Saccharomyces cerevisiae S288C: one gene and its partner. The protein of the gene in region 1 binds, or shares a complex with, the protein of each later gene. Each region holds a gene or a part of one and is shown in the gene's direction. Other genes may lie near its edges.

Region 1 (5,596 bases):
TAGCTCACCATCTTCACCGTTCTCGACGAACGAGTCGTATGGCGTTTGGCCCTCCACATTCCTGATAGTGAAGTCTCCACCCAGCTCTTCCACGATCAACCTGGCAGTGGCCACATCCTCCACATGGTGCAACGGGGTATCGCCGTCGTTGTCCAACACATTAATGTCTCCATTGTACTCATTGCACATTTTCTTCAGCAAATCCAGGTGGCCGTATGCGGCGGCAGCATGCATTGGAGTGTAGCCGTTAATGTCCTTGGATTGCGGGGTCATGGCGCCTTTACTCTCGCGGAGGATATGTTCCACTCGGTCCAAATTACCATCTGAAGCAGCCACCCATATATTAGCGTTCATTTTGTCGTCACAACACCTATAATCATCGATTTTTGTCACCTGCAAACTCTTCTTGTTCTCAATTATATCAAAGGCATCGAAAATTTTTGGGGTTATGACAAGGAAAAAAAAAGTATTACCCGAAACTTAAACAATGAATGGTATATACTATATTGTAAAGTTCTAATAATATATATAAATATGTATATAGATATATATATAGACCTAGGAGCTCTTTGCCCCTGTCTTTGACCACGGTGGAGCGGACGCCCATTCCCTATTGTATATCTATCAAGGGCTTGCGAGGGACACACGTGGTATGGTGGCAGTTCATAAGGTCAGGTACAACGTCATAATGATACTGGGCCCTGAACAGACACCAAACGAAAAGACAACGTTGGACAACTGCGGTCTTGCCCGTAGAAACTTGGTGTTGCTCAAAGCAGTCCACACAAACTGCGACAGTTGGAACATGAACAGATATCCTCTAACCCTTCTGAAAATGGCGAACATGGCCATTTCGTGGAACACGGCACTCAAGAAAAAAGTAAATAATGTAGCTTGGCTCTTGCTCAAATGCAATGCGCCCATGGAGCTGTGGTACACGTGTCTTAGTAAAAATTTGTGAACGGGGACGTTCCAGATTCTGCTAAACTCTTCAAACGAAACGCAATTCCACCAGTCGCCGTAGAAATATCTGTCCGCAAACCTGGTCAACTCCGCCACGCAATTCAATAAAGCGTCCCATATCATGTAAAACGTGAGCATGTACAGAACAGTGAAGCCCGGAATCATGTCGAAGAGCAGGTGGAACCACTCTTGCGTGGCGGGGATCCAGCCGCCGAAGGTGGGCGTGTTGTGGAACTGGATACAGCGCATGGCCACCGGGTGCATGAAGAACTGTGCCGTGACCATCATGAGGAAGATGGTGCCAATGATGGCGCACACCTTCTCCAACACATACCTCCATCTGATGCGCGACGTTCTTGGGTAGTTGATCTGGTACACGAGGACGGGGAACAAACAGAACATGAAGAAATTGCTGCAACTGATGTTGTTGGGGAAGTCGTTATCCTTGGTCTGGTAGTTCAATTCGAAAAGGCAAAAGTCGCAACTTTTTTGCAGAATCTCGCGGGTCTCTGGGGACAAAGATTCCTTGTATTTTTGCAACTGTTTGGAAGAGTACTCGAGTTCCTGCTTTATGTCCCAAAGATACCCGTTGTAAAAGGCAAACGAGTGGCTCTTCATAACAAACACCACGGAGTGCAGGAACAGGAAGATTCTCGTGACCCAGTTGAAATCAAAGTAGTAGACGTAAATGGGGAACGTCACGGGGATGAAAGCCAACTCGAAGATGCTCACTGCAACGAACCCAGTCCACTTCCAGTTGATGATCCGCTTTTTCACCAGCCAGTGCACGAAAACCACGAAGAAAGTGCACAGGAACATTGCCAAGTCCAACATTGCGATCGTGAACAAGTCCGTTGTCATGTACTGCACGATTTCCAGCTTATTCCATGCACTGCCGTACGACGCATAGTAATCTGTGCAGCACCTGATGGCTATCCAGCCCAAGAACATCCATGCGAACACGTAGATCCCTGAAAAGTTCGACTCCAGTTTTTCTCCTGGGGGGGCATCTGCCTTGTCCGTTTTCTCCGTAGTCTTCACCGTAGTCTTCACCGTGGCCTTGGTCTTGGTCTTTGTCAACTGTAAATTTTTGAGCTGTTTCTCCAGCACCGGACCTTTGAAAGTCGTCTGGAAGGGCACGTTGATGGCGCTGTCCAGGAGCGTGGGGCGAGGATCAAAACTCACGTCCCCAAAAAACGACACATACTTGCTAGCATCCTTTCGGTGGAACCTCGACCGAGACTTGCTCTTCAGGTGTGAAAGGTACTTTTGCATGTGGGCGTCCACAGGGTACTCCTCCTCCTGCTCCTGCTTCCCTGCCACACGTTCCGCCTCAGTCGACTCCACTCCTTCAGTCGACTCCACTGGCTCCACCAGCGACGTGGTAGACGACCGTGGCGAAACCTCCATGGACTCCTGTGGCAGGATCACGTTATCGTACGTGACCGAATGCCGTTTGTTGGCTTCTGCGGAATTGAGTCTGCGGATCTTAAGAAACTCTTCGTCTTGCAACAAATCCTTAGTCTCCGTCATTCTTGCAATCTGTTTTGGCGCTCTTGCTGCAAGCCGTGCTGAACAACCACCTGCGTGAGTGTGCCAATGGCGCCCCTTTCCTCCACCACGCTCGTCCTTCTTATATCATCCGCATGTTGCCAGGGTCTGCTGGGTGCTATTGTTCGCTAAACGAGTCCAACCACGGCCGGGTATTTGATGGCCAAGCCAGATTTTTTTTTTTTTTTCACTCTACACCATCTCACATTTTTCAATTTTATCGATAAAAAGAAGAGATGAGCAGCACATACATAGTGTGATAAAGAGGAAAAAAGCAGAAGAAGCAGAAGAAGAAGAGCATAGTAAAAAAGTAGTGCTAAAAAGGTGCGGTACGGAAACACAGGAAATATATCAGAGAAGAAATAATGTCACGTCCTGAGGAGTTGGCACCACCGGAGATTTTCTATAATGATAGCGAAGCACACAAGTACACGGGTTCGACCAGAGTGCAGCATATCCAGGCGAAGATGACGCTGAGGGCGTTGGAGCTTTTGAATCTGCAGCCGTGCAGTTTCATTCTGGATATCGGGTGCGGGTCCGGACTGTCTGGGGAGATTTTGACGCAGGAGGGAGACCATGTGTGGTGTGGTTTGGATATATCGCCCAGCATGCTTGCGACCGGTCTTAGTAGAGAGCTGGAGGGCGACTTGATGTTGCAGGATATGGGCACCGGGATACCGTTCCGGGCGGGCTCGTTTGACGCGGCTATTAGTATCAGTGCGATCCAATGGCTGTGCAATGCGGACACTTCATACAACGATCCTAAACAGCGGTTGATGAGGTTTTTCAACACATTGTATGCTGCACTGAAGAAGGGAGGGAAATTTGTGGCCCAGTTCTACCCGAAAAACGACGACCAGGTGGACGACATACTGCAGTCTGCCAAGGTGGCAGGGTTCAGTGGCGGGCTTGTGGTGGACGACCCAGAGTCTAAAAAGAATAAGAAGTACTACCTTGTGTTGAGCAGTGGGGCCCCACCGCAGGGGGAGGAGCAGGTGAATTTGGACGGTGTGACCATGGACGAGGAGAACGTCAACTTGAAGAAACAACTGCGCCAGCGCTTGAAGGGAGGCAAAGACAAGGAGTCTGCCAAGAGTTTCATTCTAAGAAAGAAGGAGCTCATGAAAAGACGTGGGAGGAAAGTTGCGAAGGACTCCAAGTTCACCGGGAGGAAAAGAAGACACAGGTTCTAGAAGAAACACACATCCTCACACGCATATTCTTTTGTATACTATAAAAATACACACTTATACATTTCCCTCTGTCTCTGTCTCCTTCTACATGTATACTTGTATATGTATACTTGTATATATACACTTATATCTGTATGTGAGTGGTCAATGGCTCCGCGCACTTTTATGTAGTGATGTATTTTCCTTTTTTTCTTGGTTTTCAATTTTGGTGCTTTGGAACTCCCAGTAAAGAAGAAGAAGAAGAATCGAGTCTTCCCTCTGAGCAGCTGCTGAAAGGGAGAGAGAACCATAGCGATGTGGAGCAGGAACGTCAGATTGCTTGGATCATGGACAAGGTCCTACATGGTCCCCGCCACCAAGAGAAAAACCATCCCCGTGTACCCACCTGTGCAGCGCATAGCTTCGTCGCAGATTATGAAGCAGGTGGCCCTCTCAGAAATAGAGTCTCTGGATCCCGGGGCCGTTAAGAGGAAGCTCATCAGTAAAAAGAACAAGGACCGCTTGAAGGCAGGCGACGTGGTCCGGATTGTGTACGACTCGTCCAAGTGCTCGTACGACACCTTTGTTGGCTACATCCTTTCCATAGACCGCAAACAACTGGTGCAAGACGCCTCGTTGCTGTTGCGGAACCAGATAGCCAAGACGGCCGTCGAGATTAGAGTGCCATTGTTTTCGCCGCTGATCGAGAGAATCGACTTGCTAACCCCCCACGTCTCGAGCAGACAAAGAAACAAACACTACTACATCAGAGGTACAAGGTTGGATGTCGGCGACCTCGAGGCAGGTCTAAGAAGAAAGAAATAGGCTAGGCGCGGGTTCTGTGGCCACCCATCTCCTGTATATAAGAAAAATAGTGCGTGTATAAAATCTACGTATACTAACTATGGGTAAAGTAAACCTTTTTGTACTGTTTTCTTTTTTTTTTTTTTGGTTTCCCGTAGTGATGACGTACGTGTATAGAGAATTGAAGCGAAAATAAAAAAAACGACACAAAATATTGTTCTCATTGGCTTTTTTATTTTCTATTTTACACAGCATATAGAGGTATACTCAAGTGCTAGACATCCTCTAACATCCGCCAAGAAAAACAGCAAAAAAACACTGGTCATGAAGCCACAGTGCATACTCATCTCTTTGCTGGTCAACCTCGCATACGCAGAGGAGTATTTGGTGAGGTTCAAAAATCCCACAGCATTCCAACAATTCACTTCGAATTCCAACAGGTCATGGAGACAGTTCATCGACAACAAAATTGAGAAGAAATTCTCCATCGGATCCTTCCGCGGCGTGACCATGAACCTGTCCAAGAACTTAGTGAACAAGCTGAAGAAAAGCCCACTGGTGGCTGATATTGTGCCCAACTTCAGGTTCGAAGCTTTTGAAGGCGACAGTGTAAATAGCGCCGAGTCGAGTTATACGTTTAACGCTACCGCCAAATACTCGTACGAAGACGTCGAGGAAGAGCAAAATATAACGTATCAACCAGACGCACCCCGTCACTTGGCCCGGATTTCCCGCCACTACCAACTCCCATTCGACGTTGGGGACAAGGACCGCTACAAAAGCTGGTTCAATTACTACTATGAACACGACTATCAAGGTCAAGACGTCAACGCCTATATCATGGATACGGGTATCTTCGCGGACCATCCGGAATTCGAAGACAGAGTCATCCAGGGGATTGACTTGACCAAAGAAGGGTTTGGCGACCAGAATGGCCACGGAACGCACGTGGCGGGACTCGTAGGTTCCAAAACGTATGGAGCGGCAAAGAGGGTCAATCTTGTGGAGGTCAAAGTCTTGGGCAAAGACGGGTCTGGCGAGGCCAGTAACGTTCTTAGTGGTCTGGAGTTCATCGTGGAACATTGCACAAAGGTCAGTCGCCCACA
Region 2 (4,135 bases), on another chromosome or scaffold:
CCACTTCTTCATATTCAACATCTACATCCCCAAGTTTGACTTCTTCATCTCCAACTTTGGCTTCCACTTCTCCAAGTTCAACATCTATTAGCTCTACTTTTACTGATTCAACTTCATCCCTTGGCTCCTCTATAGCATCTTCATCAACGTCTGTGTCATTATACAGCCCATCCACACCTGTTTACTCCGTCCCTTCGACTTCGTCAAATGTTGCAACTCCTTCTATGACTTCTTCAACTGTTGAAACAACTGTTAGTTCACAAAGTTCGTCTGAATATATCACCAAATCCTCAATTTCTACTACTATCCCATCATTTTCCATGTCTACATATTTCACCACTGTTAGTGGAGTCACTACAATGTATACGACATGGTGTCCTTATAGCTCTGAATCTGAGACTAGCACATTAACCAGTATGCATGAAACGGTTACAACAGACGCTACAGTCTGCACTCACGAGTCTTGCATGCCCTCGCAGACAACAAGTTTGATTACATCTTCTATAAAAATGTCCACTAAAAACGTCGCAACTTCTGTAAGCACCTCAACGGTTGAATCCTCATATGCATGCTCCACATGTGCTGAAACGTCACACTCGTATTCTTCCGTGCAAACAGCTTCATCAAGTTCTGTAACACAGCAGACCACATCCACAAAGAGTTGGGTAAGTTCAATGACAACTTCGGATGAAGATTTCAATAAGCACGCTACCGGTAAGTATCATGTAACATCTTCAGGTACCTCAACCATTTCGACTAGTGTAAGTGAAGCCACGAGTACATCAAGCATTGACTCAGAATCTCAAGAACAATCATCACACTTATTATCGACATCGGTCCTTTCATCCTCCTCCTTGTCTGCTACATTATCCTCTGACAGTACTATTTTGCTATTCAGTTCTGTATCATCACTAAGTGTCGAACAGTCACCAGTTACCACACTTCAAATTTCTTCAACATCAGAGATTTTACAACCCACTTCTTCCACAGCTATTGCTACAATATCTGCCTCTACATCATCACTTTCCGCAACATCTATCTCTACACCATCTACCTCTGTGGAATCGACTATTGAATCTTCATCATTGACTCCGACGGTATCTTCTATTTTCCTCTCATCATCATCTGCTCCCTCTTCTCTACAAACATCTGTTACCACTACAGAAGTTTCCACTACTTCAATCTCCATACAATACCAAACTTCATCAATGGTAACAATTAGCCAATATATGGGCAGTGGATCGCAAACGCGTTTGCCATTAGGAAAGTTGGTCTTCGCCATCATGGCAGTTGCTTGCAATGTAATTTTCAGTTAATATCAGAACAATTTAATTCATTTATATAAACATATACAATCAATCGAATAAAAATACAACAATGTAATGAAAACGCTCTCTATTGATATGTATTTGCTGACGCTTATAAATTTATTAAAGTTTTATTTTAAACCGTTCTAGTGACTTCACGCGGGGAGATACATCCAATAGTAAATTACAAAATAAGGAAAGTATAAAACAAACGGATAACAACAGTAGCTTGGAGACAGCAAAGGCACCCGAGCAGGCGTGGAAACACACGATGCATTTGAAAAAGGGGAAGAGGAGTATTAGCACAGTATGGCGACTTTTATGGAAGCGTTTTTATTCCGTAAACTCTAAGACGAATATGCATTTTTCTCGAAGTAGGAAGAAACCAGTGACAAACTTCACAAGGACAAACGGACTTCTCCTGAGCTGTAATGGTGATACATTCCCATATCTGCGTACACTGTGGAGATACTTCAATGCGCCTGGTAATTTGATGTTTGTCACAACTAATATTGTCGCATTTATGGGCATTGTTACGTATAATACGCTGGTTACTATCAGCAGTGAAAGAGCATTCGAAGAGCAGATGATGGCGGCACAGGTGAGCCTGGCGAAACAGAGAGAAGAGCTCGAGACTACGGCCCTCAGCTTGCCACGAGATATTGAATTGAGGGGTGAAGAAGATGATATTAAATGGGAGCAACCTGATGTAGCACATGTCCGGGAAGATCCCTTAGTCGAGGAGCAGAACGCAAAGTTAGACACCCCTATAAAACAGTATACTTTAGGAGATTTGATTTTGAATAAGAGGGAAAATGTCACTGATTATGACTCGCAGCGTGCGAAGGCATCTATATTCCACATGCTATATGCTTATATGCTGTATCGAGATGTTATTCAACCCACGACCATGACTCAAAATAACAACAGCGAGGAATGGCGGCGTGAAGTCGAGCTTTTGACTAAGGGAAAAGAGGTACAAGGTACTCATCGAAGGATAGACGTGTTCTACGACCTGTGGAATAAAAATTTCGATAAGATAGTGACATCACCTGAGAAAGTGCAGAATTTTCAACTGCCGAACTGGTCTAAATACCCAACGATATTGAAATTCATCTGCACAGAACTTCACGACAACAGTTTGAAGACCTTGGGTGAGTTTAAGCAATTCTATGGAAAGGTGCGATCTAACGAGGTAAAAAAACTGTTGGGTCTTTGGCTGTACGACCATTCCTTCCTTTTCCCCCATAATATCTACGACAACAGAACCGAAGAAGATTTTTACGATATATTAATTAATGACTCCATGCAGGATAACAGGATATTCCAGAAATACTCTTCAATTGTAATGAATCCCTACAACGAACGTACTCAACTTTTTTTCCCTAATGTAAATTCTCCATCTGTCAACAAGCCAGTACCGAGCATATCTCTGGAAACATACACACGACTACTCAAGGGATATATCAACTTGCAAGAAACAGGCTGCAAATACGACTATAATGACAATATATTCAAACTAATCAGCATCCTCAAACTAAATTGTTTCCTACAACGCAACAAGAAGAAACACGCAGGGCCAACCGTCAGAATCCTACTGCCGAGAGATGAAGACCGCTCTCAAATACTTGGTACCATTTCGCAGGCAGAGAAGAGAACCTGTTATCAAATTCTAAGCAAAAATAGGGACGTGGTTGCGCTGCTGAAACGCATTTCTGATATCCAGGCGGACTCTTCTTAATAAAACATGTAAATATGTACCTCCCAAATCACACTCATCATCTCATACGAAACTGTATCTTTTTGGGTAAAATTTTCATCGATGAGCTTTAAAAGCAAAACTACTTCACCAGCAATGAAGCTACTGTAGCATCCTATGATCTCTTCGGCTCTACACATCATATTACTAGCCTAGTCAACATGAAGTTCTTAACCACCAACTTCCTAAAGTGCTCCGTTAAAGCCTGTGACACCAGCAACGACAACTTCCCCCTACAGTACGACGGCAGCAAATGCCAATTGGTACAGGATGAATCTATCGAGTTCAATCCAGAATTCCTTCTGAACATAGTCGACCGCGTAGACTGGCCTGCAGTGCTCACGGTTGCTGCCGAATTGGGAAACAACGCCTTACCTCCTACCAAACCATCCTTCCCATCTTCGATCCAGGAGCTCACCGATGACGACATGGCCATCCTTAATGACTTGCATACTTTACTGCTACAGACGTCCATTGCCGAAGGTGAAATGAAGTGTAGGAACTGCGGACATATCTATTACATCAAGAACGGCATTCCAAACTTGCTGTTACCTCCACACCTGGTATAAATCAAGCGAGATCTCTGTGTGTGGGCACGCAAGACGAAAAGACAACTATATACACAGCTATATATGTAGTAGTAGCCTCATATACGTATGGCATCAAACATGTAGCATAAACAACCTAAAAGGAAAACAAAGACTGAGATCTAACCCACCACAGTTTCTATTTGAGCCTTCCCGTCGCGCGTGATTTGGAGATACAGATTCTAAGAGCTTTAAAGAACGAGATACTCTCCTGTTTTAAGGACTCACCGGCATATAAGGCAGCAAAGTCGCCGGTTTGAAGGTTCAGGGGCCTTGAAGGTAGTATCATTTGGAAAACAGCAAGAGAATATGGCTGGACACCATCACGAACATGAACAAGAGCGCGACCACGAGCAAGAACACGAACACGATTCCCTTCAACGGCCTACTACTGGATCAGAAAGGACTAGAAGTATATCCTTTTCGAAGTTGCTTACGCGGTCATGGAAAAGGAATGCGAGTTCATCGAACAACATGAGTGT

The links.
Region 2: the proteins of BUD23 (region 1) and TRM112 are in contact, whole or in part, in a crystal structure (PDB 4QTT), measured with the Saccharomyces cerevisiae proteins. Residues at the interface, in NP_009976.1 of Saccharomyces cerevisiae: Pro47 (codon at 3,018), Cys48 (codon at 3,021), Ser49 (codon at 3,024), Phe50 (codon at 3,027), Asp70 (codon at 3,087), Val72 (codon at 3,093), Cys74 (codon at 3,099), Ile78 (codon at 3,111), Leu83 (codon at 3,126), Leu87 (codon at 3,138), Glu92 (codon at 3,153), Gly93 (codon at 3,156), Asp94 (codon at 3,159), Leu95 (codon at 3,162), Met96 (codon at 3,165), Leu97 (codon at 3,168), Gln98 (codon at 3,171), Asp99 (codon at 3,174), Thr102 (codon at 3,183), Ile104 (codon at 3,189), Pro105 (codon at 3,192), Phe106 (codon at 3,195), Arg107 (codon at 3,198), Gly109 (codon at 3,204), Ser110 (codon at 3,207), Phe111 (codon at 3,210), Asp112 (codon at 3,213), Arg139 (codon at 3,294); in NP_014444.1 of Saccharomyces cerevisiae: Met1 (codon at 3,228), Lys2 (codon at 3,231), Leu4 (codon at 3,237), Thr5 (codon at 3,240), Asn7 (codon at 3,246), Phe8 (codon at 3,249), Leu9 (codon at 3,252), Lys10 (codon at 3,255), Ser12 (codon at 3,261), Lys14 (codon at 3,267), Asp17 (codon at 3,276), Phe23 (codon at 3,294), Ile40 (codon at 3,345), Asn43 (codon at 3,354), Glu45 (codon at 3,360), Phe46 (codon at 3,363), Asn49 (codon at 3,372), Ile50 (codon at 3,375), Arg53 (codon at 3,384), Val54 (codon at 3,387), Asp55 (codon at 3,390), Leu101 (codon at 3,528), Asn123 (codon at 3,594), Gly124 (codon at 3,597), Ile125 (codon at 3,600), Pro126 (codon at 3,603), Asn127 (codon at 3,606), Leu128 (codon at 3,609), Leu129 (codon at 3,612).

What each region holds. Positions count from the first base shown.
Region 1 is NC_001135.5:208,829-214,424, reverse strand, and holds BUD23 (18S rRNA (guanine1575-N7)-methyltransferase), read left to right. Parts: upstream 1-2,879; coding exon 2,880-3,707; downstream 3,708-5,596. Other genes in the region: YCR051W (uncharacterized protein), read right to left, coding at 1-354; YCR050C (uncharacterized protein), read left to right, coding at 653-961; ARE1 (sterol acyltransferase), read right to left, coding at 664-2,496; mitochondrial 54S ribosomal protein bL19m IMG1, read left to right, coding at 4,002-4,511; RRT12 (Rrt12p), read left to right, coding at 4,815-5,596. UniProt on the Saccharomyces cerevisiae protein: S-adenosyl-L-methionine-dependent methyltransferase that specifically methylates the N(7) position of guanine 1575 (m7G1575) in 18S rRNA. Requires the methyltransferase adapter protein TRM112 for full rRNA methyltransferase activity.
Region 2 is NC_001146.8:704,561-708,695, forward strand, and holds TRM112 (RNA methylation protein TRM112), read left to right. Parts: upstream 1-3,227; coding exon 3,228-3,635; downstream 3,636-4,135. Other genes in the region: AGA1 (Aga1p), read left to right, coding at 1-1,316; PET494 (Pet494p), read left to right, coding at 1,579-3,048; serine/threonine protein kinase FPK1, read left to right, coding at 3,963-4,135. UniProt on the Saccharomyces cerevisiae protein: Acts as an activator of both rRNA/tRNA and protein methyltransferases. Together with methyltransferase MTQ2, required for the methylation of eRF1 on 'Gln-182'.